Drosophila melanogaster: one gene and its partners. The protein of the gene in region 3 interacts with the protein of the main gene of each other region in a pairwise test. Each region holds a gene or a part of one and is shown on either strand. Other genes may lie near its edges.

Evidence for each region.
Region 1: the proteins of CG13643 (region 3) and Ent1 interact in a two-hybrid assay, tested with the Drosophila melanogaster proteins (one large-scale study listed by BioGRID).
Region 2: the proteins of CG13643 (region 3) and hig interact in a two-hybrid assay, tested with the Drosophila melanogaster proteins (one large-scale study listed by BioGRID).
Region 4: the proteins of CG13643 (region 3) and Mst57Da interact in a two-hybrid assay, tested with the Drosophila melanogaster proteins (one large-scale study listed by BioGRID).

What each region holds. Positions count from the first base shown.
Region 1 is NT_033779.5:353,695-361,848, forward strand, and holds Ent1 (equilibrative nucleoside transporter 1), read right to left. Parts: upstream 4,181-8,154; 5' UTR 3,993-4,180; coding exon 3,729-3,992; exon of another isoform or gene 3,635-3,728; intron 3,498-3,634; coding exon 3,197-3,497; exon of another isoform or gene 3,144-3,196; coding exon 2,673-3,143; exon of another isoform or gene 2,619-2,672; coding exon 2,224-2,618; 3' UTR 1,871-2,223; downstream 1-1,870.
Region 2 is NT_033778.4:9,243,077-9,251,310, forward strand, and holds the start of hig (hikaru genki), read right to left. Parts: upstream 4,174-8,234; 5' UTR 3,819-4,173; coding exon 3,689-3,818; intron 1,335-3,688; exon of another isoform or gene 1,256-1,334; coding exon of another isoform or gene 1,095-1,255; intron 1,036-1,094; coding exon of another isoform or gene 721-1,035; intron 664-720; coding exon of another isoform or gene 446-663; intron 394-445; coding exon of another isoform or gene 123-393; intron 64-122; coding exon of another isoform or gene 1-63. Other genes in the region: Cyp4p3 (cytochrome P450 4p3), read left to right, coding at 1-63, 123-393, 446-663, 721-1,035, 1,095-1,255.
Region 3 is NT_033777.3:24,901,796-24,910,195, reverse strand, and holds the start of CG13643 (uncharacterized protein), read left to right. Parts: upstream 1-4,191; 5' UTR 4,192-4,289; exon of another isoform or gene 4,290-4,469; intron 4,470-4,719; 5' UTR 4,720-4,817; coding exon 4,818-4,857; intron 4,858-6,771; coding exon 6,772-6,986; intron 6,987-7,147; exon of another isoform or gene 7,148-7,581; coding exon of another isoform or gene 7,582-8,400. Other genes in the region: CG10845 (uncharacterized protein), read right to left, coding at 7,582-8,400.
Region 4 is NT_033777.3:25,828,830-25,834,736, forward strand, and holds Mst57Da (Male-specific RNA 57Da), read right to left. Parts: upstream 3,071-5,907; 5' UTR 3,048-3,070; coding exon 2,820-3,047; 3' UTR 2,746-2,819; downstream 1-2,745. Other genes in the region: Mst57Dc (Male-specific transcript 57Dc), read right to left, coding at 625-855; Sfp96F (seminal fluid protein 96F), read right to left, coding at 1,281-1,382; Mst57Db (Male-specific RNA 57Db), read right to left, coding at 1,953-2,075. UniProt on the Drosophila melanogaster protein: Transferred from male to female during mating and may affect egglaying and behavior after mating.

The DNA of each region.
Region 1 (8,154 bases), on a different chromosome or scaffold from region 3:
TAACTGTGGGGTTGTATCCACGACTTATGTCCCATTTTGATATGGGGAAAATTAGTCTTTATTTGTATATCAAAAGTACAAATAGAATTTTAACTTTGAGAATTGGTCAATTATTGTTATCTCGATCAGATATAAATATAGCTCGAAATTTTAATAGGTCTAAACTGTTGTTAAACATATTTTTACTTGATAGATGAATTCATTATACTCAGTTTACATCGGTTGCAATTTGCAATTTTACAATATTATTACTTATTTTAAGTTTAGGACTGAGTATAATGTGTTAGTTATGAAATGGGTCCCTGATAAGTTAGTAATTTTGTTGCAGCGGAAACCGCATCGACAACATTAATATAATATTTGGGCGGTTGAGGCTATGGCGTATAACGCAGCCCGCCGCTTTACTTCGCACCACGAAGTTGTTGATTGATGGCTGCAAGGCGCTCTTTGTAGCGCTGCCGGTCTTCCTCATTAGTTGCCGTCTTCAGTAGTTCGATGTTGAGCCTCCGGGCGCTGAGCAACTTAATCCGGCGGCCACCCCTCTTCTTTTTAGGTGGCTGCTCCCTCGCTGCAGTCCGTGCCTTGTACTCTTGTATGGTCAAGGGCTTTGGTCCCGCGGACGGATCTACCTCTATTACCTCTTTGATACTTGGCAGATCCCTTTGCTCGACAGGAGCAGGGTGTTCGAACGTCTGCTTGGTAGACATTCGCTGTTGTCATGTGCGGCGCGCCGGTGGAATCCTTTATCCTTTATCCTAATCCTACCCTCGCAGGATGCCGTGCTAATTGCTGTTGCGGCTTACAATGGTCGAGGGCAGTCGTTCATGCAGACGTCGGGTCTTTTCGGCTTGGGTGATGTTGAATTTTCAGTTATTTCTTCATTGATTATTTCTATTTTTGCTGAGTGAGTTGTGGTATTCGGCTTTCTTTGCTGGAGGTTTTCTTTCAGAAAGTCTAATTCGGCAGTTAATTTCTGTGCCGTTGACCATGGGGGCGGTGTTTTATTTGTATATCATAGCCACTTAATATGTGCTATACCTTTATTTTTGATTTCCTGACATCCGCGTTTGCCCATTACCACACTCTACTCACTCAGTATTTTTGTTTCTTTTTTTTTCATCAGTGTCCCGTCTCTAGGTCTCCCGCACTGGTGTAAGGGGCGGCCTGCCTCTCACACCTGTTGTCGCTGTTTAGAATTCCCAAATCAAATCGGCAATATTAGCAGCATTTCCTCAGTAGTCCTCAGATCGCAGGCTCCTGCCTCACGGTCGCCATGTAATAAACCAATATATGCCACCAATTGAGAACACGTGTTTTCCTTGCAGTTGGGTGCAGCCGTCAGGCCACCTTTTTATTTCTTCTTATCTCTTCGAGTAGCAGAAACGGTTCTGCCCGCTTAACCTCTACAGAGTGTCTAATCTTACCTAAATACTGCGACTGCGCCGCCGTCGACAGCGGCAGAAGAGCAGCGTATATATATATGTATAAGAGAGAGAGAGAGAGAGAGAGAGAGAGAGAGAGCTTATGCGCATATATGGCCAGCGGCCAGCGTGGGGATGCTGACTTAGCTTAAAGCATAAATGGGTGATCTTATATCACGCTCACTTGAGACATTTATTTATGCAATGCAACTAAGTGTTGCTGTGTACTTATAGGTACAGTATACCCTCGATATATGCACATACTACAATTCGCCACTAGATTTCTAGTCTAAGTATATTTTAAACACAACTCTTCACAGACCGCGCTACGATGGAGTTCATTAATTAATTCAATGATTAATGACAAAAGCAATCCAATAAAATCTATCCACATTGTTGTTGTGATCCACAGAAAACCCGAAATAAACGTTAAACAAGAAAAATTAATTGTTCTAATTTTTTTAATATCGTCTTATTCCTAGTATATAATGAAAACTTTAAACCTTAAATCTAGGCATCCCGATATAGTAAACTTGTTAAAATAAAAAATGAGTAAAATTTGGAAAACAACACACAGCATCAAAATAACTCAAAATATTAAATAACACTTCGTTTTGGAAAAAATTTAAATAAAATTTCGCTGTGTAAATAATTTCAGTCAGTAGACTTGTAACAAAAGTAAAAACATTAACACCCCCTAAGTAGTTGGAAGAGCAACCAATATCAAGTTAACTATCACTATAATGCTTAAGATTCTGAAACTCCCGAAGGCACTATGGGCAGACTTATTTTGTTGGCTAATTCAAAGCATTTGAACAAATACAAGGCTGAGCAGTGATCCCACAGCCATGCCACAGCTCAAAGCAGCTGCCATTATCGACGAAGCCAGCTCCTTTTCATGCTGCTTTACGCGTTTAGGCGCCATTATAAGTAGTATGTTCGTAAAATATCCGTTGGACAAGGCAAACATTACCATCATCGCTATGAAAGTATAGTCGTGTTTTACCAAAACTGGCAGAAAGCTGTGTTCGCTGGAGTTTGAACATAGAAATAACGGAACAAACGCCATGCGCACTACAATAAATAGTAGCGAAGTGTTCTGGTTTAATGGTCGCTCCATCCAGCCAGCAAACAGACGACCAAAATAGTCACCGCAGTTAAATATCAGGTAGTTCACGACGGGCAGAAAATAAACATCTGTAAGAACACCGCATATGAGGCACGAACAAAAAGAATAGGTTTTCTGTTTACCTGTCCACACGCTGTGGCCGTACTCTGACTGCATAAGCACTGTAACTGCCGGATAGACAGACAGGGTCGTGGTATAGAGGAGCGCTAGGGAAATGGCATGCAGATAGATCTTCGACATGACCTGACGCAAAATAGGCTCAAGCGGCAAGCCCTCAGCGCTTCCATTCCGGTTGTGCGAGGGCACTGCCCGGATGACCTTGTACTTGTCGCCACCTTCGAGATAATACCTAAAGAAAGGCTTTCGAGCCAGGATTACGTAGCACACAATGCAAAGCAGGATGAGCACTCCTCCCACAATGAAGAAGATGAATGCAGTGGTATTGGGACCCGTGTCGAATGCAAGCACAAGAATGAAGGCCAGGGCTGTGAGGATACCACCAAGAGCCTGTCCGCTAACCACAGCGGTGATAAACTCGGAGGGAAATAGACCAGCGACTCCGTAGAGGGCTCCCGACATTGTAGCCGCAGATACTATATATAATAAATATTAAGTAAACACTCAAGGAGTACTTCATGGTACCCACTATTTAGCAGCACTACAATGATGAGAGTGATTAGGAAAAACTGTTCCTGCCACGTGTCTGTGTTGATCTCCACGAAGCCAGTTGTAACCCCGAAAAGGATGAGGATCATCCACAGCGTTCCTAACATCTTGGTGCGCAGGGACACATGGTGTCCGAAAATGGCGTTTAGCAGCAGAAATGTAGTCCCAGAAATAGTGGCCGTGAGAGCCAAGTCGCAGGTAAAACTCTTCTGCAACGGGGTGAGCTCTTCCTCCAGGTCTGTGTTATTAATCGATGCATTCCGGAACTTGTACTTCCAGTACTGAAAGAGAAGCGAACAGGGTTAAAGCGTAAGTCAGCGGAAAACAAAGAAAATCAAAAAAGAGAGTTTTCGTCTGGGTGTGGGTCGTAAAGAAACGACGACAAAGCTGATAAGCACCGCGCCTTAGAATTGCGCTTGGCCCAGTTGTTCAGCTGTTTGGAATTGATATGTCCGAAGTTCAGTTAAATTGACTAGGATGCGGGTGCGGAAATTTCCACTCGTTAAACTTACATCTTCCGCAGTCACAAAGAAATTCCACGGGGTCATGGTACCAATGCCCAACAGGTAGAACACGAGGTAGGTGAAGAGTCGTCCACTCTCGGGTTCGTTGGACACCAAAACTACCTCGTCCTGCTGGCGTTCCATGAGACATTGCTCATCCGCATGGTGGTCCTGCGGACGAAAAGCGGGAACGAAGCTGCCCTCCGTGCCCAGAATCTCGTCATCCTCGTCCAGGGCGTCCACCAGTCGTCGTGTGTCACTGGTGCCTGGCATTGCCACTGAATTGCACTACTGTTTTGTACGCAGCCCTTGGTATTCATAAATTTACAACACCTCTGGCGGATTATTCACATCTGTAATTGTGGAGAAGTATTCGATGTAACTTAATCTGATGCAATTTACTTTCATGTGTATCATTTAGCACGGACGAACTGCGTAACATAAAAACGAATTTGTAAACAACAAAGCAAGACATTATACAAAAAATATCGATGGCTTATCGAGAGGAATCGATTAAATGAAAATATCTAAGATATCGCACTAACACCACAAAACCGTTCACCCAGGTTGGCAGCCCTTGGCGCGAAATGTGATGGGATTCAAACTGCATCTTAGTTTTGCATCTTAGTCCTATATTTTAGAGGACTGTGAAATTGGATTTTATTTGCAAAACGAGCGTAGCATCCACCTCAAATCGTAATTTAATTGCCAGCCAGAGCAGCAACAATAAAAACACCAATATCAAGCAGACCCTAGAGCTGATGATGAATGAACGCAATTTGTATTTAATCAATAAGCACGCCCCGCAGTGTTTTAAATCAGCGCACAGCTTCGTTTTACGGCTTAGCGCCATTCGCAGGATGCGATCCGCCCTCCACCCCTCGCCCATTGATCGCTTGCGAAATTTTAATTGGATTTGCATTCGCGTTCGTCCCGAAACCGGTTAACACACGCTCCTTCCCTCTGGACATGCGTTTCCTGACCCCCTCACTGGTCGGGACATAAATTTATTTTTAATTTACTTATGCGCGAATTTCCGATCTCTGCCCTGCGGTTGTTTGATTTGCGAATTAAACTGGAGGGGGCCTTCGAGGAGAAGCGTCCTCGTTAGCGCTGTTGCCCAGGTGGGCAAGGATCGAGGGGACTTCTCTTCCGTCTTCGATTGTCATCGCGGGCTTGCAAATTAGATTAGTTCATAATGATCACGAGGGGGTTTCGCATCCCAGCGAGAGGCGTGTCATCTCATTAATTCCGTAAAAACGCTGCCCCCACTCCCATGAGCCCAATCAATCTCCCGATGAGATTCTGATTCCCCTGCGCAGGCCACACACTCTGCCTCGGTCTGGCAATTTAAAAATCACATTAAATTAGTCAGCAAGAAATCACCACAACGAAACCATCAACAAATCATCTCAAATTAAATTCATTCAGAGAGTGGAAGTGGATGGGGATGTTGATGTGGATGGGCTGATGGTCTGATGAGTAGCCAGTCGGCTTAAGCAACTCATCTCCCATTCATGCCAACGGGTAGCACTACGAGATCGAGACTGGGCTCACTAGCAGACTTGGCAATTAATAAAAATGTAAATTCAATTAAATTTATATGACAGCTGGCTGTCAGAAGAGCTCAAATTAAAAATTACTAACAAGACCTGTTCCGCCGAGATCGCCGTACTTCCCGTGTCCCGAAGAGCTACTCGACGAAAAGCCTCGGGTGCAGGCCACGCTTAATTAAAAATCCAACAACTTCAACTCGCAGACGAAGATGATGAAGATTGGGCTGCGGATATGGATTCCATTCGCCCTCTCTGCATGCTCTACACTCCGGTGCCGGGCAAATCTCATTTGCCGGACTTCAATTTGAGTGACGTCCTCCGACCACCCGAGGTGATCTTGTTCTGGTTTCCTCCTAAAGATCTCTGGCTTTTTGGGTATCCAAGTGGCAGTTGGCTGGAATGCTTGACAGCCGCCGTTTAGCAGGAAAGCTGACGAGGGATACATGCACTTAATATTTACATTGTCATCGGAAAAATTAATATTATTAATTAATTAATTTATCCCGTATATACGGGATTCGGTACATAACACTTTTTGAATGGTAAAAAAAAAATTTACCCAATTTTAAAATTTTGGATTATGATTTTTGGCGAAAAATTGAAAAAAAAATACAATTTCTAAGTTGGAATGCAGTTCGATTGGAAATTTTATTACGAATTCAACAAGGCATATCACTTTTTTCTCCGATCATTTTTTGGAATGTTATGCGAAAAATAATGACTTTTCTATGACAAAAAGTTAGGATTAGCTTAAGTTCCACACTTTCATTGCAATCATTTTTCGAAACTTGGCTTAAAATTGTCTCACAACCAAAATTCTTACTGTTTTGAATAGCTATTGACCTAAACTAACCACCCAAAACACTTTTTGAATGATATCAAAAAAAAAAATTTTTTACCAATTTTTGAAATTTTGGAAAGGGGTAACATCATGATTTTTGGCGAAAAATTGAAAAAAAATACAATTTCTAAGTTGGAATGCAGTTCGATTGGAAATTTTATTACGAATTCAACAAGGCATATCACTTTTTTCTCCGATCATTTTTTGGAATGTTATGCGAAAAATAATGACTTTTCTATGACAAAAAGTTAGGATTAGCTTAAGTTCCACACTTTCATTGCAATCATTTTTCGAAACTTGGCTTAAAATTGTCTCACAACCAAAATTCTTACTGTATTGAATAGCTATTGACCTAAACTAACCACCCAACCCACTTTTTAAATGATATCAAAAAAAAAATTTTTTACCAATTTTTGAAATTTTGGAAAGGAAAAATACAATTTCTAAGTTGGAATGCAGTTCGATTGGAAATTTTATTACGAATTCAACAAGGCATATCACTTTTTTCTCCGATCATTTTTTGGAATGTTATGCGAAAAATAATGACTTTTCTATGACAAAAAGTTAGGATTGGCTTAAGTTCCACACTTTCATTGCAATCATTTTTTGAAACTTGGCCTAAAATTGTCTCACAACCAAAATTCTTACTGTTTTGAATAGCTATTGACCTAAACTAACCACCCAAAACACTTTTTGAATGATATCAAAAAAAAAATTTTTTTACAATTTTTGAAATTTTGGAAAGGTAAAGGTAACATCATGATTTTTGGCGAAAAATTGAAAAAAAAATACAATTTCTAAGTTGGAATGCAGTTCGATTGGAAATTTTATTACGAATTCAATAAGGCATATCACTTTTTTCTCCGATCATTTTTTGGAATGTTATGCGAAAAATAATGACTTTTCTATGACAAAAAGTTAGGATTAGCTTAAGTTCCACATTTTCATTGCAATCATTTTTCGAAACTTGGCTTAAAATTGTCTCACAACCAAAATTCTTACTGTTTTGAATAGCTATTGACCTAAACTAACCACCCAAAACACTTTTTGAATGATATCAAAAAAAAATTTTTTTACCAATTTTTGAAATTTTGGAAAGGGGTAACATCATGATTTTTGTCGAAAAATGGAAAAAAATACAATTTCTAAGTTGGAATGCAGTTCGATTGGAAATTTTATTACGAATTCAACAAGGCATATCACTTTTTTCTCCGATCATTTTTTGGAATGTTATGCGAAAAATAATGACTTTTCTATGACAAAAAGTTAGGATTAGCTTAAGTTCCACACTTTCATTGCAATCATTTTTCGAAACTTGGCTTAAAATTGTCTCACAACCAAAATTCTTACTGTTTTGAATAGCTATTGACCTAAACTAACCATCCAAAACACTTTTTGAATGATATCAAAAAAAAAATTTTTTACCAATTTTTGAAATTTTGGAAAGGTAAAGGTAACATCATGATTTTTGGCGAAAAATTGAAAAAAAATACAATTTCTAAGTTGGAATGCAGTTCGATTGGAAATTTTATTACGAATTCAACAAGGCATATCACTTTTTTCTCCGATCATTTTTTGGAATGTTATGCGAAAAATAATGACTTTTCTATGACAAAAAGTTAGGATTGGCTTAAGTTCCACACTTTCATTGCAATCATTTTTCGAAACTTGGCTTAAAATTGTCTCACAACCAAAATTCTTACTGTTTTGAATAGCTATTGACCTAAACTAACCATCCAAAACACTTTTTGAATGATATCAAAAAAAAAATTTTTTTACAATTTTTGAAATTTTGGAAAGGTAAAGGTAACATCATGATTTTTGCCGAAAAATTGAAAAAAATACAATTTCTAAGTTGGAATGCAGTTCGATTGGAAATTTTATTACGAATTCAACAAGGCATATCACTTTTTTCTCCGATCATTTTTTGGAATGTTATGCGAAAAATAATGACTTTTCTATGACAAAAAGTTAGGATTAGCTTAAGTTCCACACTTTCATTGCAATCATTTTTCGAAACTTGGCTTAAAATTGTCTC
Region 2 (8,234 bases), on a different chromosome or scaffold from region 3:
ATGATGAGGCAATCATCTCGTTAAACGAAGTCATTCCCAGATTTACCCTGAATAGCATTTGTGGTGAGATGCAATACGTTTTAAAAGTTTTGTTAATTATAAAACCACAAACATATCTGCAGAGACGGCCATGGGTGTGAAGCTGGACGAGATGGCCGAGAAGGGGGATCGGTACCGGGAGAACTTCCGTCAGATCGAAGAATGCTTCATTCGTCGCATGAGCAACCCACTTCTATGGAGCGATACACTATTCAAGATGTTTGCCGAAAAGGATTACGCGTCTGCACTCGATGTGGTCCACGGATTTTCCAGCGAGATTATTGCCAAGAGGAGAGATCAGCTGAATGATGAGATAGATAGCAGAGGAAACACTCAGACCGCTGAAGATGAATTGTAAGGCATTTGACAGTCGTCCATAAGTCCATAACAATACCGATTACTTTAGATTTACCAGTAAAAAGCGCTTTGCCATGCTGGACACCCTTATTCTTGCCGAAAAGGATGGCCTCATCGATCACATTGGAATTTGTGAGGAGGTGGACACTTTGATGTTTGAGGGCTACGATACTACCTCAATTGGGCTCATGTTTGGACTAATGAACATGTCTTTATATCCCGAGGAGCAAGAAAAATGCTACCAAGAGATCCAAGCTAACATAGATGGTGAAATGAGCTGAAATTAGTAAACTTACGATTTCATAAGCATATAAAATCTTTCAGATGAGCTTAACATCTTGAACATCGGGCAGTTGAACAAATTGAAGAATCTGGAATACTTTATCAAGGAAACCATGCGCCTGTTTCCTTCTGTTCCCGCCATGGGTAGGGAAACTACGCGGGAAACTGAGCTGAGCAACGGTCTCATCTTGCCAAAGGGCTCCCAGATTTTTGTCCATGTCTTCGACATCCATCGCAATCCCGAGTACTGGGATTCTCCCGAAGAGTTTCGCCCGGAGAGATTTCTGCCCGAAAACTCGCAGAATCGTCACACCTACGCATATATTCCATTCAGTGCTGGTCAGAGGAATTGCATAGGTATGTAATATTGCTTACTCTCATGGAATGATTGGATAAACATATCATTTTCTTTGTAGGTCAAAAATTTGCCATGCAGGAGATGAAAACCCTAATGGTGGCCCTACTGAAGCAGTTCCAAATTCTACCAGAAATCGATCCGAAAACTATTGTTTTTCAAACTGGACTAACACTGCGGACCAAGAACCAGATTCACGTGAAGCTCGTGAGAAGAAAATGAGGCAGCTTTAACGGAATGGAATTGTTCACGGAACTCTGTTAGTCATAAAGTGCACAGTGAACAATAGTTTCATCCAAAGACTCCTTTCTTCTTTCTCTTGGTGCAAAAATGTCCTGTGACTAGCTTATGGCCGATAATCGTTGGCATCTCGACAGCTGCCGCCCTATAAATCATTCATGCCCTGGCGGGTAGAAGCACTTCTCTTCTTCTTTTCCAGCAGCTATTACAATTCCAACTCCCATTTCCCACACAGTGGGAGCTCCCTGTCATTTCCTACCCCTCCTATTATTTTTGAGGCAGCCCAGGAAAAGTCAAGTAATCTCTGTCCTTTAGCTCACATATATGGGAATGCAAATGCATAATGCGCTGGCGACTTTTTGTCATTTGGTTTTCCTCCTCCTGCCGAGGCTACATCCCTTTCCCAACGACTCCTTTTTGCTTTAACTGCGATTTTGACAGTTCGTTACTCAGTTATACCATTTGCATGCATAATGCAGACTCAGCTTTGTTCTAAGCACATAAAATGTGGCAAAAAGACATGGGTGACCATGGGCTCGCAAAATGCACTGTGTGTGGTGCACTGAAATAAGTTCCATCTATCTTTGGCTTCCTATTTATTTTATGAAATATTTATATCATGTTTCGAAGGGATATTTTTAGTTAGCTTCTCTTTTATATGTGGCTTACTACTACTCTACTATTGAAAATAATTATCGTAAACGCATATTTTTTAGTGTGCGCCCAACTCGTTCCAACATCATCATCCATCCTGGGGACCCAGGATTTATGGGACAGCACATGGAAATGGGTGAAAGGCAGCTCTGGTTTTAGCTGCTACTCGGCTACTGCATATTTCATTAGTGCTCTGTGCGCTAGTGCTTCGTCGCCATAAGTCAACATTAAATGGATTCCATTTGTGAGTCATGTAAATTAAATTTCCCTCGCTTTCACATGTGTCAAGCGAACGTTTGGATCTCAGAAAATCTAAGAATCGGCACCCCTCTCACCTGACTGACTGCCAAACTGCGCACCAAAAGGCGAAATAAGAAGTCGCAATATCCGCCACAAAAGAAAAAAAAAGAAGATAAGTGCGACGCACTTTTGCCTGACTGAAGGACGAAACCCCAAAAGCTCAGCAGCTCAACAGCTGGTCCTGTCGATTTGCCAGGGGAAATTAGAAGGCAACCGACTGGAGGGATGGCGATGGCGATGGCGATGCCGATGGAGGCAGAGTGAATTAATTACTTTATGCGCATCTGCGTGTCGCTGTCGGGCACTTTACACTTCCCCTGTATCCTTTTTCCCACTTCCCTTGTCCCTTGTACCCCACATCCACCCATTCCCCCGTCCAAAGTCTTCCTTCCCTTTCGCAAAACTCACACATGACGCTATTAATTTCTATTACCAGCCTCGGACGGCCTGCCTGCCATACTTCATTACGGACTTTCGTGCAATTGCCGCTTGCCCGAGCTACCTTTCAGCTCCCCTTCCCCTAGTGCACTGAGAGAAATTATTGGTGACTGCCAGCGGAATTAAGTTTCGTTGAGATTTAGGAGCAAAGGTCTAACAATCAAAAGTATGCATTAAGTTTGCGCCTTATTAATGATTTCACATGTTCAAAATGTTCAGTAATCATAATTTATAATGTATAAATATACATATGTAATTGAAAATATATTTGATCAAAAATAACTAAATTTATCATTAAATTCTTACCTAATAAATTATCATAATACGCTCGAAATAAAGGTTAAATAATTATTTTACAAGGTGTGAAATACATAATGATTTTAAATATTTATGTGAATGCTATACGAAAATTTATTTCGATTTGTCATACATGACAATCATGTTTTTCTTTATTCTTACTGAAAAATAATGTTTGTGATTGCGTTTGAAAACTAACTTTAAAGACTTCATGATGTCTTGCTTTGAATGATTCATAATAAAAGCCATTATCCTTGCACCTTATAAGCATGTCTTTTATAATTTAATATGAAAAGCAACCTAAAAATTTGTTGCCAAATATTTTCCGCAGTGCCCCGTTTTCGCGATGCCCTTGCTTGTTTGTTGACTCTGATTGGGATTAAGGTTGCCCATGGGCTCTCGGCTCGCTTTGATTGCCTTTGTGCCGCAGATGCCGTGAAATATTTCATTTGCTGCCAGTTATTTGCTCTTGCGCTCTGTAGCTTCCCCTCCCGGTTACGAATTCATTTCTACTCCGGATTTATATCCTTTTTGTTCGAGCGTGTGTGATAATCGCTGGGAGCTGGAAGCTGTGAACTGTCCGATTTCCATGGATGCGTGGAAGGCCATTTAATAAAGTGACCGAGTTCGAGGCGGCCCGTCATAATTTATTTACGCTTTTCGTCCGTCCAGTGAGTGAAGGTCAAACGGAGGAGCCCACGTGTGTGCGGGGCAATTAGGACTCACCTGGCTCGGATGTGGTGCTGGTCTCGACGGGCTCCGTGTTGGCATTGCTTTTGTCCAGGACCAGCAGCAAAACGGTCAAGGATATTAGGGCCCAAAGCGGCTTATGGCGCATTCGCTGCCTGCTCCACATGTCCAAGGATCAGATTGCGATTGCCAGAGTTTCGGCGTTGTTTTGTTTTCGTTTGTTAAGCAACCCGATGAGTCCTTTCAAATAGCAACGAATTTAACACCACTGCACTTCACGAGTTGACTTCTTAATGGGCCAAAAATAGAAATCCACTTGGCCAACTCACACACACACACTGGCGTACCGCCAGCAGTAACCCACACTCGCGCCAAACTGTATGCAACGTGTGCGCGTGTATGTGTATGTGTGTGTGCTCTTTGGCTTTAAAGTTTCACTTTTACTTAGAGTCCTTTGCGGGGTTTTATCCTTTTCGAAGCTGGGCACCTATCCTCTCGAGCGACGACAATCGAATGCCACGAGTGCGGCGAGCGTCTCGCTTTTATACCTCTCGTTGGATTCTGCGCAGCTTCGGCTCTGCTTCGTTCGGCTGCAATCGGCTGCATTCGGCACTCGACGAAGGATCGCACTCGACGAAGCTCGCCAAAGGATGTGTCACGTGCATTTTGCCGGCAAATCGTGTGTTTTTGTTTTGGTTTGGCCCATGTTTTGCTTAGTCGCTGTTGCCATTGCCGTTGCTGTTGCTGTTTTTCGTCATCTCCGATTTTCCTCTCTCGCTGCTTTCGCTTTTCGCTGTGCCCGTGTGTCTGCGTGCGTGCCCTTGTAACTCTCACGTAGCTCTCCTTTTTCCCACTCCCCCCCGAACCAACCAAGGAACACCGCCCACCCACGTGGCCAATTCCCAGCTACAAATGAAGTTTTCCGCTTGCTTGCCACGTTGATTCGGTTACTTTCCAGTTTAAAACTAATTTAATTATACTTCCTTAGTTCAGGCAGATACTTTTTACTGGTGCAGCAGTGAATCAATCGCATAAAATCAATTACTATTTCCTAATTCACTAGGGGAAATCGTTGCTGAAAATGTTATTGGCTTAAAACTGCGATTTATATAGCCCGAAAACATGAGCACATAAGGTACAATAACTAGACGACTATAATTATTTAATTGAAATATTGTATGTAGGAGATAAATATGAGAATTACATTTTTGGATACATTGGCAATAACTGCTAAAGTTTAAATTTTATGATTTTTACTTGGCGGTAAGCTTAGCAACTAAATGCAATTTTTTTGTAGCTAATTATATGTTTATAAATTCAAAAGTGTGCTTCCGTGTTTACTACAAATTCAAAGTGGGTACATTCTATTGTGGCTAAGGAGTGCAGTGGAGCCAAGTGCTCGGCAAGGGACTCACCTTTGCTGCTCCTCAGCTGCCGCTGCCCTGAGAAGTATGCTATCAATTGTGCTGACGTCGCCTGTCTGCTGGCCATTCCTTTTGGTCCTGGCCAATAATCAAGCAGCAGTTGCGGTGATTTTGAGGCCTCTGCTCTGCGACCGAAGCCAAATGGCATTTGGCATTTGGCAACCAGGTTGCGGATGCCACTTGGCCACTAATTACGCAAATGAATGCTCCGACAGGACGCCCCTTGTTGTCCTCGCAAGATAAATGTCACTCATTGGAGGTTCAGGTTAGTCCTGGTCCTAAAGCGTAACCGTAACAATACCGTCTGGGTCGCTCTTGTCTGTCGCATTGAAATTTTGCTGAAATGCGAAATACCAAATGCGAATGCGAATGCGAAACGCGCTCAACTCCAGTCGAGTGGAAAATGAATGTTTGTGTGCTGCATTCTCCCCCTCAGCTGGCAATCCAATTGTGCAGCGGCATTATCTTTTGTGTATAGTTTCTGGCATGCCGTCCTAGTGGCCCGAAACTTTGGAATGCAATCAGGCTGAAAATTTATACGTTTAGCATGTTTATCCTGCCTCCTGGCAACGAGCGGCTTTACAGCAAAATTCAATTTGCTGCCCTGCAACCGCAGGCTGAAATTACATCTCTGGTATTCCAACTCAATTCGATGCCGACGGGCCGAAGGCTAATAACCAATGATTTCCTGGGTGCCAATGAAGTGCGTGCACCTGACATGGTCGCAGCTTTTCTAGATTAAAATGCCTGCATTTAGCAGATTAAATTATTTAATCAAGACAATTACTTACTGGCTGTGCGATGGGCAGATGCAACAAATACATGGCTTACCGAATCCTCATTTCGGTAGAATGAATAATACAATATGCATAGTAAGTCACGCAAAAGGAATATTTACTTTGGCCAGCTTGGTTGGCAGCTGATTTAATAACTACACATCCAATTGTTTTAAATGAAATAATCTCCTCTTCGTTTTAATGAAATTATTGCTTTAAATAAATTCCTTGTTGTTTTGAACATATGTCAAAATAATATATTCTTTAAGTTGTAATTCAGGTTTTAGATATTCAAATATACAATAAATATTCTGAGATTTCTTAACATCGATCTCTTCGATAATATGTTATGCTCCTTATTTTGCTCAGTGCACCAAGCGGAAAACAATCGCAAGTAAATCAACTGGTTCTTAATGCCATTTGCCAGATAGCGAGCCCAGGGATAAACAAGGACTCGCACCCGATGGCCAAATTCCAGGATCTTGTCTTGTCATGCAATTATCGAGTTTTAATGAATTTTCGCGCGCAGTCAGAGGCGAAATCCATTAAAGGACTCGCGCAGACAGACACGGATGCGATGGCGGCAAGGAAGTGGAAGCGGAAGTGGCCAACTAATTACGCCAGGACACTTGGCACACAAAAAGCGGGCACCAGCAAATGCTCGAGTTAATTGCATTGCCAATGATGCGGCAAAAGCGTTTTGACGACCAAAGGGCCATTAAGTCATTAAGACGCTCAAAATGTCATTAAAGAGCGAAGCCAACACGACCACAATCTGCGCAAATCGCAGCTACAAATTATTTTGCACTACCAGATATTTAGATACAAATATTGGCTTTATACAATCATCAGCTTGTCATTGGGAGCAAAGTATGTGGTGGCAAAAAGTTCTTGAAGAGCTAGCGATCCACTTTTCGGTTGGAATAAGGGCATATTGGCATTAGCATTGGCATTCTCTGCTGGCCAAAGTTAACCACAGCTGTCGGCTTGTTGGCCCAAAACGCCCAACTAGTCGGGTCAGTGGGCAAATCCGAAGTGCCAGCTGGAAATTCCCGCTGCAAATTAAATAAGTGTCTAATTGCTGACCAGCAGCATAAAATGTGCACAATTGCAGAAGCAGCCGTGGGAACCAAGCGAAATACAAATGACACGACCCAGTAATAAATCTCAATTGATCCCGCAGGTGCAGTGGCAGTTTGGTCGATTAAAGCTCCCTCAACGACTGCATCCTGCAGCGTTCAGCGGTCAGTGCAGGCATAACAGGTGGGGAGGTGGGTGAATCCGTGGCAAATACGTTAAGTGGCAGCAACGAGCCACAACAACGACCCTTCAATTGTGGTCCATGTGGCTTTTCTGCGTTTTTGGAGGGTAAATGCTTTCGAAGAGGATAGGGAAATGCAAAAATTATATTGGGGGAAAAGGTGTACACTTTAACCTTTATAGCTTGAATCTCCAAGGAACTTCACATAGCATTTTTCTCTATATAAAAAAGTATTGGTTAAAGTGCTTATAAAAACATTGTTAATTAAAGCCGCCCAGATATAGCAATTGAATGAAAAAGTCGGGGGAATGCCGACGCATGGAACTTGGCCATAAATGCTCCAATGGGCCATTTGCCATGGAGCAATGGTTATGGCGAGAATAAAACCCAGCCAGTGCAAGTAATGTTGTGCCCAACTCCCGGACTCAAGCCACTTCCGTCCAGTGGTCAATGGCCAATGGCAGGACAAACTTTGGCCAGTAAACAGCATTAAGTAACCTCACGCACAGCGGGGTTGGTATGAGTATGAGTATGAGTCTGTGTGTGTGTGTGTTATAGTAGCAACTGCCTTCGGTGTCCTTGTCGTCCCAGTGTAATTGCCTCGGATGACTTGCCCCCTTTCGCTCCAGCTACCACTACCACTCCCGCTGCCGCCTCTCCTGACCAACTGGCATTGACAAGCTCCATAATGGCCATTCACCGCAACATCTGGTTTACGTTGCCAGTTTGCGATGGCTTCGCCTCGCTGGGAGTCGCAGCAACTTTGCTTCCTCGCATTGATTCCCAGGTACACACTGCCCCCTATCGAGCAGCCTAATTGAATATCCTTGGCATCCTGGCAAAACTTCGGACCAAGCTCCGTTCCAACTGCAGTCGAAACTCGCTAAGTTGAATGGAATTATTTTTGTAGCTAAAGTTTTTCAGAGACATTATGCAGTTTATGGGTTACAATACCACAATATCAAATCAACTGGATTAAAAGTTGGCTTTAGGTGTATTAAATTCTCAAAATTAACTCTATTTTTATATGTGTGGTATCTAAGATCAACATATAATAATTTTATTTCTATTCTTGTAGCAAAAAGGTAGAAACATTAAAAACTGTTCAGTATTTTGGCACA
Region 3 (8,400 bases):
TGCTGCTGTTGCGGGCTGATGTTGCTTTTGTGCCTTGGCGTTGTTGTCGTGTTTTTGGCAAACAAACGATCAACAAGTGGCGCTCCTCAAAAACGTTTTTGTGCAAAAATATTTGCTGGCAAAACGAAGAAGACCCATCGATGGGCAGAGTTTTTGGAAAAATGTAATGTTGCTGCTGCGGCTGCATGGTGACAAAAGCCGCCGTCTAATTGAATTAACATAAAATAAAAGTTGTCTTGGCAAAGCGCAAGCTCAACATCCTGGTCAGTAAGCTAGCCATAGCATTGGCCATTTGGCATTTGGCTCAGAATCTCTGGCCAGAATAATCACGAACAATGAAGACTGAACGGCGGAAAGCTCATTAACATGATTACAATGAAGATTCGACTGCATAATAATTCACACATATTCCGGCATTACGAAAAGTGCATTTGTATGGGCATGCAATTAGTCACAGAGACCGCAGCATCTGCAAGTTGGAGATCCGAATTCTTTACCGCCCGCCGACGCCACCGCTCGTCCCATTCATTCCCATAATTTAGCAAATATTTTTTTATTTTTTATTATTTATTTTCCCATTTTGCCTCTATGTACACGGCATAGCAACTGCATTGGTTATAACATTTTCTCACGTTTCGTCGTGCAGATTTCGGCACAAGTTGCGCCTTGGTGTGGCCGATCCAATGCCTGGGATGGCATAGTATGAGATCTCGGTTGGCAGTTGCAGTGTGGTGGCTCCACAGTTCCATGCCTCCATGCCTCCATGGCACTATGGTACCATGGTGATAATGATGATGGTGGCGAGGTCGCTGGATCGGCGGAGGCGGGCGACTAATGCACATTTTATGCAAATTTCGAATGCGCGATCCCCGTGTTTTGGGTTTGCTTATGGCAGCTTAAGTCGGTTTACGAGTGCCAGTAAATGCAATTTAGAATGCTTGAATCTATTGACTGTCAATAGGCGCAGATATTAAACCTGTTTGCCTATATGCCTAACATATGTAGATCGCAAACTAAATTCTTAAATTATATTTAGGTTTTCAACACCACATAATATTTATAGCAATTAATTAATATATAGCAATTCTTGCTTTAAATTCAGAATGATGCAGCACCTTAATTAATTTTATATTAATTGGGTAAGATCTAGTCAATTTTGTTCTGAGAATGACTACAAATTAGAATTAAACCAGTTCACGCATGTCTTAATACAATACATTCGAGACGGAAAAAATAATTAAATTATATGACTTGTCAGATATCTATAAAACCCGACACATAAATAACTCTTTATAATGCTATGCCTATTAACAAAAGTTCTAGTTAGAAAAGATCTCTTACAACAGATTAAAAGCAAGTTCGTTGCCTAAGTCATTCGTTTTTATGGAGACTTTTTGCGTTTCTCTTGCATATTTTCAAATGTGCCGCATCACGGCAATGCGTCAAATTAGCCAGGCAGTCCGCTCACTGACCACTATCCGACTGCCTGACTGACCCATTCCAATCCAATCCCAGCGAGCGCCGCTGAGCTTTGATTTCGCAAGCGCCGTCGCATCCATAAAACTGTAAATTGCACAGCTGCGTCTCCGTCTCCATTTGCGGCTGTCGCTGCCACGTGCAATCCCCGAATCCGAATATGAGTCGGAGTCCCCATCCCAATCTCAGGCAGCCAATGCGAAATTATATGTGTGTAAATACATTTATATGTACCTATGCAATTTCTTATTATGAGCGGTACGCTGCCAAAGGTTTTCCAAGAGCTGCACTTTATCAACGGGAAAATCTGCTGGCAGCCCATGCTCATTGCTGCACAATTACTCAACGACCTGGGTTTCCAATTCCCGCTCGAGTCCCAATCGCAATCCTCGGCACTCGTTAGTGCACGCAGAAAAAAAACTATAGCAAGCGAAAAAGAAATAAAGGTGAATCCAATTGAATCAAGTTCAAAATTATTTGTAGCATGTTCTGAAGCTAATTTCTTAACTGTGTGTTCGTATAGTTTCATTATTTAAATTAGTATAAGATTGATTTTAAAATATTACAGTTTTTTCTTTCTGTGAAGTTTGCACTATCTGTTGAATGGTTTTTTTGGCATTTTTTGGCGCGTTGCTGGTGGGATGGATGGGATGGGATCGAGAGTCGAGAGTCTGTTCAGGCGCATCTTCAGCTTAATTGAATTTTAGCTGCTGCTGCAGCTTCTGCTGCTGTTGGTGAATGCATTTTCCACCGGCTCCCACACGTTGTGCAAATGCTTTCGGCACTTTTACTGCACATCGGGCTTACATAATGAGTAAAAATTAAATAATTTACCCAGCCAATGGATTCTGGCGTGTACTGTAGCTTGTAGCTGCCAGGTGGAACACCGAATTCGTGTCTTTGTCGGCAAGCACATTCATCAATGTCAGGCGTTGAGTCCGAGGCCATTTGAGTTTCGAATAGATGGGTATTTAATTGAAAGCGCCCGCTAATTAGAATCCAATACGCTTAGATGCTGTGTAATGCCAAGCGATGGATCGTGTCGGACCTCATCTTCCAATAACAATTGGGACTTGGGCATCTGGCACTTCCTTATTGCTGGCCTTTCCCACGCAGAGGGATCGCGTGAGTCATTGCCACACACAGGAGTTGGATCGCAAGGCGAACAAACATTTATTACAAACAGCATTACAGCTCTTGCACAATCGCAATCGGCAGCAAATTAGAAAGATGGCGGCCACTTCCCACAGCTTTTTTGGCAGATGGCTCCGCTCCGCTCCATACCACACAGGGTTGAAAGTCATCCTCCAGTTGACATTTTTTCGCCAGCTGCTGATCTGCATGACTTTGGCTGCCTGGCCTTTTTCCGGCAGGCAACCTCAACTTTGAAATGCCAAGCTGCCAGCTTAGTGCAGTTTGGCGCACTTCAGTTCAGTTCCAGGTGACATGACAGCTTGAGGTTGCTTGCTAGCCATCTTTCCTGGGCAGCAAATATGGAAAATCTAAGCAGCAACGCCCAAGATCCGCCAAAGATCTGGCCAAAAGTAGCAGGCGTGTAAATTCCCACACTGCAGCAAATGCCGTCAGCCTAACCGTCACCCGGAGTCCCCCATCCATGGGGCTCCATGCCACACTCACCCATATACACATAACCGGATTGGCGGTGGCACCGCGACTTTTGCCCCGACATGGCAGCCGCGGCAGCAACGGCAGATGGGGCAGCAAATGACAAAGCCCCGCCACGGCTATGACATAATACCCAGCGGAAGATGCAACCAACGAGCTTGGTGCACCAAGTGCACTGCAAAAATCAAGAACATCATATTGTTCGAGAAGGAAATAAATTTGAAGTAAGATTTTAATAACCTAGAATATTTGTAAGGATATGTCGAATTCGGAAACCAGAGAAAAGGCTCATGTGGGCTACCAAAGAAGTTTTTTATTTTGTTGTACTTTTGATCAAATTTATTTGTAAAATCTAAACCTCTCTTTGTTCATCTACTTTTTTCCTCAGTGTACAGCGGGTGTAATTGATGTGGGGTCGTTGGTCGGGCGGGGGAGTGCTTGCCCATAATCATGAGCGGGCCCTGCGGCCAGCTGACGTAAGTGATGAGCGCCAACGACTCCTGCCAGGCGGTGCATCGCGTACAATGCAACCAAGTAAGTGTCATATGGTCACACGTTGCGTATGCGTAATTTGCGTTAAGCATACGACAGCGAGCCGCAACCAAATAAGCAGCAGAACCAAGAAGCGGTGGAAAAACAAGCACAAAACCGAACAGCAGACGACCACGAAGATGCGAGACGAAGCTGGAACGCTGATGCGCTGCTTGCGTCGACGACGCACAGTAGTTAAAATATACAAAATATACTTTAAGAAAGAAACTTAACCTTTCAACTATATGTATTAACATTTTAAGAAATCTAAACCAACAAGATGTTAAAATTCTATTAAAACGTAAGCTTTAATTTAACTCTTAAATACCTTAAATATTTATATTTACCTATTAAATACGTATGATTTCATAAATACAAATGCTTATATTAATCTTTAAAACGTTTGTAGTTTAATGGATGTATTGTATTTCAGTTTAGATCATCGGGATGGGATAAATTAGATTATCACACATTTTTGCCCCACTGTGCACCAGTGCGGCTGCTGCCTTGGAAGCAGCGCCCCGATGGGCTCCAAGTGGTTTTCCTTTCGCTTTCAGAAATCATTTCGCTTCGACAACGTGAACGATAAAGTCACAGATCGCGCATCGCGAGCCCGCTCTGCCCGCTGAACTCGCCTGGTTCGCCTGTCTCCTCCGGTCGGTTGTTGGTTGCTCCTCAGTGGATGTGGTTGGTGGTTGCTGGCTGGTGGTTCTGCTGTGACTCTGTGTTTTCCGCTGTTTGCCCAGCCAAGTGCGGCGGAGGCAGACGTCTTCAACGTCTCGCTGCACCTTCTAAATGGGCTTTCCGTAGTTTTCGCACCTTGCGAAACACATTTCGTACGCATTTACATACAAGATCGAAGTTTGAAGAATTTTGCCCTGCTGTCTGCTCATTTCCTACATGACGGACAACTTTTTATGGCGATGATTTTCGCGTTGAGTTAGTGAAAAAAAGAAGCAAAAATACAAAACAAAAAAAAAAAACAAAGTAACAAAGAAGCAAAAATCTTGTGCAGTGGGGAGTTTTGCAATCAAATCCCTTTCAATACTCATAAGATTTCTGGTGTTGTGCCCTCTTGTTTTGCAGTGCGATCCATGTGAAAATCGACATTTAGTATCAGCTTAATTGCTCTGGATTACTTATTGGATATCATCCTGATTTTGGATTATAAAAACTAATACAACATGCTGAGCATTATAAATGCAATGATTGCCTTCCTCCTGGGTGAGTAAAAGTTTGAATCTCAAAAAGGATATTATTTTAAGCAGTTGGATTAAGCAGTTAAATTTTAATTAAATTTTTTTAACTACATCATTACAAAATTAAGGTGACGTTTTTTTTTAATCTTAAATACTTTAAAAAATATTTTTCTATTTCATAATGTACATGTTCAAAGAAGGGTTAGGATTTATTAAACTACATTTGAATTGTGTCAAAATTTTCCCTTTTATGTTTTCCCTCTAAGTAAATGTAATTTTAAATATAAAAAAATATAAGCTTAACCCTAAGCAATTTCGTAGATTAGAAAACAGGCATCAACTTTAAGAAAAACGTAGAAATTCGATTTCGATTGAGTACAAAATTTCCAAACGTTTTTCTAACTAAAAACTATGTTTTGCTTTTTGTGATCCCATTTGCTGACGATCACCTTCTCTACATAAATGATAGCATATCGGTAAAAAAAAAAAAAAAATCGCATGCTCATTAGGTTTTGTTTTTGAACACATGAAATACAGATACAGTGCGCTGCTTCAAGGTCCATCGCGAAAGAAATTAATGGGATTCAATGGGTTTCATATCGATCACATTTGAAATCAAGCGTAATTCGCTTGGCAGCCCCTGCAGCAGGCAAAAATGAAGACAAGGCTGAGAAATGGCAATTACGGCTAAGAGTGGGTCATCAGTAAACATAATTACCATACTGTAGATTATATTTTTTCAGTGAGAGCTTGAGTGGGACAACGCCCAGCACAGTGGCTTGAGGGGATTTGAACTGCGTGAGAGCTTAGGTCGGCCCAAAGTTTTGACCAATTTGTAGGTTCAGCTCAGCAACCAAGCAATTGAAATCGAAATCGAACAATCTACAATGGATGGGGGTAACAAAAGAGCTGCCTGGGATGCCTTTGCCAGTGCCCCATGCCATCTGCCCAGTCATAGTTCACTGCCAAACAATAGGCTGCTTTGCTGGGGTGGAAAGTTGGGTTTGAAATTCACTTGAATTAAATGCGAATCAGAGTCGAGTTTCGGCCACAGCGTCTTTCTTTCTTCGAACTGTGCTGGATGGCTTGTTTTCTCTTTGTTTTGCATTTTGGGTTTCCTTTACCAATTTTTTTTTTTTTTTTTTTTGGCATGATAAATGGGGGCGCACTGGGGGATTATGCAACCTGCGACTGCAATTTGCAGCCGTAGAAGAGGAGCTTTGTTCTGCAGTTTGCCATGACAATTACACTTGCCTTAATTGCAGCGAAACCATCTTCCGCTGTCTGCAGAACAGAAGCTTCGAAGAATAAAAAAATATATGCAAAAAAAAAAAGATATGTCTAAATGTATATAAAAAGCCATAGACAACAATGATACATTGTTCAATCTCAGGGTAATTAGGCAGACCCCTGAGTCTGTTTTGCTTTTAATGCCCAATGTACACATGTCCGACAAGCGTAATCCGTAAATTTGATTGACTTGGCATTTTAATTGAGCGACCCCTATGTGCCCAGTAGATCCAGTGGATCCGTTTGTGACCACAGCGATCGCATATCGTTCGGCTGGCCAAAATGTTAATGATGTCGCTCGCCATCGCAAATACCAATCGATGCTCCGAAAAAGTAAATAAAAAGCGGTCCCAAGCACTCACAGAACCGAGTTAGTAGCTCCACAGCCTTGGACCGCAGCAAGTGCTCCGGCACACATAAATCACGAGCTCGTCTCGCAGTTGTAAGCGAAAGTGATGCGGCCCGAAGGTCACTTGACCACCAGGGCACCAGGCACCATCACCAGCAGCATCGTCTCGATCGGCACCAGCATCTGTTCCCACTAAATACCCATTCGACTCGATTCTGGCCCCACTTGAGGTGCCGTTTGAAGAGCAGACCTAACCGGATCACGATTTCTGACTTCTTTATATTGTTTCCACTCTTGCAGCAACGACACTTTGCAGTGGATACGGATACGCGCAGGCCCAGTTGCTCGACGAGGACGACGACCTGGCCTTCGGAAGGCCCTGGCCCACCTACAGCCTACAGAACATGCCCAAGACGCAGTTCACCTGCCACGACAAGATCCTGGGTGGCTACTATGCCGATCCGGAGACCCAGTGCCAGATGTTCCACGTCTGCGTCAAGCTGCCCGGAGTGGGGGTGAGTAATGTTGTGCCCAGGTGCAAGTGCTTCTGGTTGAGATCAAGGCAGCAGTGGCTCATGTAGCAAACGACATTGGCATAGAAATGATATATTTAATATGGGTACTAAATACTACCTTTTTTTGACAATAATATTTTCTACAGAATCAAAATGAAAATACTTTACAAATTTCAATATATGGTTTATTGATCAAAAATTACCACCTAAATGACAAACTTACATTAACCTACAATTTTAAGATTTTATAAAGAGATACGCACAGATTAAGCAGACAATATAGAATTTTTGATGTAGGCAAATTTGATAGTGCGAATTTTTTGATGCAACCTATCACAGCGTAAAACTGGCGGGAAAAACGAAAGACTTAGGCAACAAACTTGCCGACAGCCATTGGCTCGGTTCCGTCGCGCCAGCTAAATGGCAAAGTGGCACAGTCAGATGCGATGCACTGCGGAATGTGTGAGATGGCTCCAAATGGTTCGTGACTGGTCCGGATAGCCGGATGGCTTTGGTGCTGGCAAAACCTGAAGAAGAAGACGGTTGACTGGCTGACCTTTAAGCGGGGGTTTCGCTGGGAGCCGAGTGCAAAGTACTACAAACTAGGGTCTTCCACCGGATTCGTCTGCGAATGGAGCTCATCTGCATCCTTCTGCGGAAGACGCGATGTTTTCCGGTGCAACCATCGTTGAGTTGCCTGGCATAGGGAATCGAACAATTTGGTCAGCTGGCGAAGCTGTCTTTGCTCATTATACTGGATATCCAACCTTTGACGTTCCCACATTTCCTGGAACTTGTCCGTGTACTCGGCGATTTTGTCCTGGAATTTTCGCGTTTGATCTCTCAATTCCATGTGAATGGATAGCATGAGATTGCTCTGCATATTCAGTTGACTGTTCTTTTGGTCAAGTTGCTGCTCCAAGTGGCAGTTTCTCTCCGTCAAATAATCTATGTCCATCTGAAGGCCCTTTAGCTTTTTAATGGACATTTCTGCTTCTGAGCGAATTGCCAGCATTTTCTGTTCAACTTTTTGCTCAAAATCTCCATCCGAAATGTCCTCCTCAGAGCTATCACTCGCTTCAAGGCTTTCCAGAAATCGCTCTAGCTCTTCCTTGTCCACAACTATTCCTAAAGCCTTGTTCCTTAGACAGCGATATTTAGCCCGCTCCTGCCTTAACAGTCGTCTCCACACTTCGTCGGGCAAACTGGCATTGGAGTTGGACGAGGGAGTGGGAGCCGGTGTCACCGGGTCGTCTTTTCCCTCCGGTGGATCTGCGTAGTTGATTATCACCGTCCTGCTCCCGTTGCCCATTAGTTGATTGAGTAGCCTTGTCAGTCGAATGTTATAGTACCGTATGTGCGTCTTCGGGCTGTTGGCCAGTACCTGGAACAAACTGATAAGCGTGTCCAGGGG
Region 4 (5,907 bases), 930 kb from region 3:
TCTTGTAAATGTTGAAACACTAGAAAAACTTTGCCCATCTCTGTTGAAGGGTATGGGAATAACGAACTATGGCAGGAATATGAAGAAACTCTGGATACATTCGAGCCAATGGCGAAAACGGCAACACAGAACGGCATTCTCTGTGCTTGCTTTTTATTAGAATGCGTCCATGGAGACGTGGGCGCCAGCCATTGTCTGGCAGCCTCCTCCTCCATGAATCCCTATCGCCTTCAGAGCGAGTATATATTGTATAATATATATTGTGCCTGTGCAGCTCGCTATACATTTCTTAGCACGTAGTTACCTATGGCAGCAACTGGAACAACAATGCCACTTGAAACAACAATAAAAAGTTTGTTGAATACAGATACTCGTATATGTGGACAACTCCCTATGCCGCCATGAAAAAAGAAAGAGAAATAAAATATAAACTTTCTACACCTAACTGGCAAAACATGAAGCCATAGCAATCTAGTTTGTAATGTAAAGCTGCTTACTAACTACGTTTATATTTTAAATACATTTTGTAGCACATATTTCAAACATTTAATCGCACTTTTTGGTCTAGGTTTTAATTGGGCATTATCTTTACTATTATTATAAAATTCTCTATGATGAGGCTTTTTACACTCCTTCCGGTTTCCAAGTCTCGACGACCGCGCTAACATATTGATTACAGTTAGGCGGCAAGGTTAAAATCCTGGACTTAACTATTGGCTCGTTCTTCTTTAAACAACGCAACATGTTGTGCATATTTCTTTCGGCCTTTGCCACGTTTTTAATGTCGGGCGTCACACCGTTAGATCCCAGGACTCCACACAACAGAAGCAGGATCAAAAAGTGCGTTCCGTGCATCTTTACAACTTGGTGAATGCTAACGATTGATATTCTTTGTAGTTGCTTTAAATAACATGAGATGAAATCGTTAATTGGCATAACAAATTGAATTGGTTAAAGGAAAATATGTTATAGATATTCGAAATGGTTTATTACAATAGGGGTTATATAACCTAGTATATGACCAAAACATATTTCTCTACTGCTTCGGATTTATCAACCGATTATCGATCCAATACCAGGACAATTATATTTTATATCTCCAGTTTATTCCAAATATACTATATATTTAAATCCTTGATCAATGCTTTTTAATATACATTAATTTGAGAATAAAATAATTAGCTTGTACACAAATTAAACGATAACAAATAAATAAAAAACATAATAAGTTCACATTTTATAGAATCTTTTATTCTTTTTCTCACAACATAGAATGTTGTTTAATTAATATTTATTACATTATGATTCACATTGGAATCAGCATCTTTTTGGGCCACAGCGAAGCCAATAAGCAGCAAAAAATAACCCGCAAGGAACTTCATGTCTATCAGAAGAGAATAGAAATAAAACACAGACCCGGTTTTTATATAGTTTATAAGCCAAGTGTTGCATAAGCCAAGCGAATCGTTTAATTCTTTTAAACGGTGGCCAATTTTAATATCGTTAAATCATTTTTCTTTCGGTCGTACGAAAATCAAATCTTTTGAATATTACATTTGGTAAAATTGGTTTTGCTACATTTGGTTTTGGTACATTTGGTTTTGGTACATTTGGCATTGGCACCTTTGGTTTCGGTATCAGCGCTTTTTGAAACACTTGCGTTTTTAGCATAAAATATATATATTAAAATTTATATTTAATATAATTAGGCAAAAACATCTGATATACTGTCAGATTGTGACTAGTCGTAAAAGCCATGACCATTAATAAGTTTTGGCCAAACAAAGCTTCGAACAAAAGGTTTATGAAAAAATATATATGGTATATTCTTGTATACTAAAATAGATTTAATATTTCAACTTAAAATAAAATAAATAGGCCATTGCTATTACATGCAAACAATTAAGTAAATGTTTTATTGAATTCTGTGCCTGCAATTATCAAAAGCTCATTTACTTTGCGGCGCTGGGACTATTGATGTGGATCACATTCTTGTTTTCGTTGGTGTTCGGATCCGCAGATTGGGCGAAAGCCACACCGGCAAAGAGCAGAACAAGTGCAGAGGTGATCTTCATGTCGGCCAGTTGGAATTGGAAGTAATGACAAGCTAGGGGAGTGCTCTTCTTATAAGGCCTGGGTTGCGTAAGCGATACTAATCTAAATGCCAGACAATTTGAAATTAATTGCACGATGAAAGAAAAAGAAGTGGAACTAATTCCTTAAACCCGAGACATAATAGACCGATTACAATTTAAATAACACTTGATTCCTTTTGTCAATCTGACAAACATTTATATAATCTGAACTTACCTGGCACGGCGATAGAAATCTTTCTTGATTTCATAAAATTAGTATTAGTCTTTAGCAAGCATTTTTAAAAAGCACGCCAATGAAATTTACTAAGCCGAAAAAAAAAGTTTCTTCTTGAATTCAAATTCATAATCACACCTGTTTCAGAAGGATATGAGAAAGCAGTTGTCTGGTTACTATCTACCACAGTTCTCAATGACTTGTCGTGATAACAATAGTCAGTTAAAATAAAATTATTATTTTCCCAACAATATTGGGAAACGTAAATGAAATTTACTGAACCGAAGATACCTTTTTGTTGTTTGAATTCCAATTCATAATCACACCTGTTTCAGAAGGATCTATGACAGCAGTGGTCTGGTTACTATCTACTCCCATGTCTGGTTGGGGTTTCAAAAGTCAGTCCATGTAGTTTAATATTGTAATACATAGATTAAACACTCTCATAAACATATATTGTGATTAGCGATCCATTTTATTAGAAGAAAATAACCTCTGACTCATAATATTTAACTTTCGGCTGGAGCATCTGCGAGTCCTGCTTCAGGAGCAGCTGGAGCTGCGGCAGGAGCTGCGGCAGGAGGTGCGGCAGGAGCAGCAGCAGCTGCTGCGGCAGGTGCAGCTCCTGGCTTCTTGGCACCGATGACGATGACGTTGTGATTTGTATTCTGGCTCTTTTGGGCGCTAACCAAAGCCAGAACAACCAGCAAAGTGACGAAAAGAGCTAGGAACTTCATATCGGCCAGTTGGAAGTCAATTTAAAAGAAATGAGGAAATGCAAGACCGCTTATATAGGCAAAAAAGATCGCCAAGTGAAACAAATCTTCAAATTCGACACGCTTGACCTTATTATACGTGGTTCATTCGAGGAAAATAATGTAATTATCATTGGCATGTGTTTGATTATGCTGATATATAAAAAAAGGAATTAAGTGGAACCCAAGCATAAGTTACTTAAAATATAGAGCATAAGCTTTCAAAATATCATACAAAATATTTTTTTCTTGCATATTGCTGTTACAATCACAATTTCGTGTGTGAAGTGAAACGAATTTGGCTGTTAGTTAACCGTAAGCTACGACGTTGAAGTGCAGTCTAAAAATCTCATAATGAAAGTGTCACGAACTTTAATCGTTGTAGGTTCTCTGCTCCTGATTCTCAGCATCGTATTAACCTACAAATGGATAGCATACAATCATGCTTACCCGAAAGCACAAACAGAACTAACGAATTCGACGAAGAAAGCAAATCTCATCGATAGCAAGGCTAAGAATAAAAAGCACGTGCAGAATTCCTTAGCCAAAAAGGCAGCCAAGTCGGTGGCCAACCAATCCAAGTTCAAATTGGACAAGGTTTCTAAGAAAATTCCAGTCATACCCCTGCTCGATGTTCTTAAGGCCAAAAAGCAGCCAAGTCGTGGACAAAATATATTCTTCCATGAAACCACGAATTTCAAGCGGATAGAAAAGAGCTCTGTGGTCCAATTGACGGCACGGGAGGCCTGTGCCATTGAATCGGCCGCCCTTCACAATCCAGGCCTCACTGTATTTGTACTTTTTGCCGGCGCCACTCATCGCCCATCAAGTGGAGATCCGCTGATCAGGGCTGTTCACACATGAACACGAATATATTTAAAGACTTACAATTTTGGGCTCCGTTCATATCTTATGTAAATGAATCGAGAGCGATAAATTATATTTAGGATTTTGTTATCTAAGGCGACATGGGTGCATTGCTCAAAAACATGTAATTTAAGTGCACACTACATGAGTCAGTCACTTGAGATCGTTCCCCGCCTCCTAAAATAGTCCCTTAGTGGGAGACCACAGATAAGGTCCTCGCCGCTCAAGATAGGCAGATGTGCCCGAGCGTGGGACCTCGATAAGGCGGGGACTATTTACTTAGGCCTCTGCGTAGGCCATTTACTTTAAGATGCGATTCTCATGTCACCTATTTAAACCGAAGATATTTCCAAATAAAATCAGTTTCTTACAAAAACTCAACGAGTAAAGTCTTCTTATTTGGGATTTTACATTTGGTCAATCGAGCCTTTAATCGACTCTGCAGTTTCCCCCTACCAAAGGTAAGGAACTCAGAGAAAGGCCAGCTCCTTTAAGCATCTTACAGCTAAAGGTAGCAAAAATAAGTGACTCTTGTTTCCCCCTACCAAAGGTAAGGAACAGAGTATAAATATAAAAAGCAAAAGATACAAAAGAATCTTTTATGTTTTAAAACAAGCACCTTATAGTCTATAGCTAAAGGTTGCTTTGTGTACCATTATAAATTGTGGTAAGGCGTGCTTGAGGCCATACATCAGCAATTGTGGAATTAAAAAGTGCATAACAAAAGTGCCTTATAAATGCTCTAATAGCATTAAATCAGCTCATAAATAGAGTGCAGTGTATATGCCATAAGAGCATAAATTAAATAAAAAGTGCCTGAAAACAGTGCCTTATAAATGCTCTAATAGCATTAAATCAGCTCATAAATAGAGTGCAGTGTATATGCCAAAAGAGCATAAATGCCGAAATAAATGGCTAAAAAACAAAAAATCTGACTGGACTACAAAAATAATAAAACGTGCCAAAAAAAAAAAAAAAAAAAAAAAAAAAAAAAAAAAAAATCATCTTTAAACATCGACGGAGCCTTAAAGAAGAGAAGGAAGTCAAATTCAAAGGAGCCTCTACCAGCAGCAGAAGCAGCAACAACAGCAGCAGCAGAAGCAGCAACAGCAGTAGCAACAGCAGCAACAACAGCAGCAACAGCAGCAGCAACAACAACGACATCAGCTAAGTCAAAACAAGAATTTTCTGTTTATCCAAACACACATATATATATAAATACATATAAAATACATATACACGTACTATATATATTAAGAAATTACAAAAAATTTTCAAAATGATGTCAGAAAAGACTATTCAATTCCTTAAGAAGCAGTCCGAAATTATTTTGGAAATTAGAAAGTTGGAAGTAAAACCAACATTAACAGATGTAGAAATTCTAAAATTAAATGAGCTTCAAAAATGTTTCATTGCTAATCATAGCAATTTGTTAAAGATCGGCGTTGTCGATCATGAATATTTTAACGCGAAGCAGTATGATTTAATAATGATGGTGTTAGAAAAAATTAAAAATAAAAATGAAAAAATTAAGGGCGAGTCGGTAGAAAACACTTTCCCTAAATCAAACACTGTCCCTAAATCAAACCCTCCCCCTACATTAAACCTTGAAATGCGTGGTCACCCTGAAAAAGAGGGTATAGCACAAAACAACGCTTTAAAAGTAGAGCAGGCATTTCGTAATAATGTTGGCCAATTTCGAGTATATCTAGAAGATACGTCTAAACTAATAGACAGTAGTCCAGATTTCCTTAAAATAAGGAAAAATAAAATTGAATTTTTATGGCATAAAATAGATAACCTGATTGAACAGGTGAATAGTCATTTTGAGAGTTCGCTATTCGAAGAAGAAATTAGCGAACTTGAATTTGACAAACAAAATATTCTTACAGCCATTAATAGTCGACTCAGTGGCACAATAAATAAAGCTGAAATGTCGACGGTTGTTAAGGCGGAGGAGTTACCAACCCTGCCT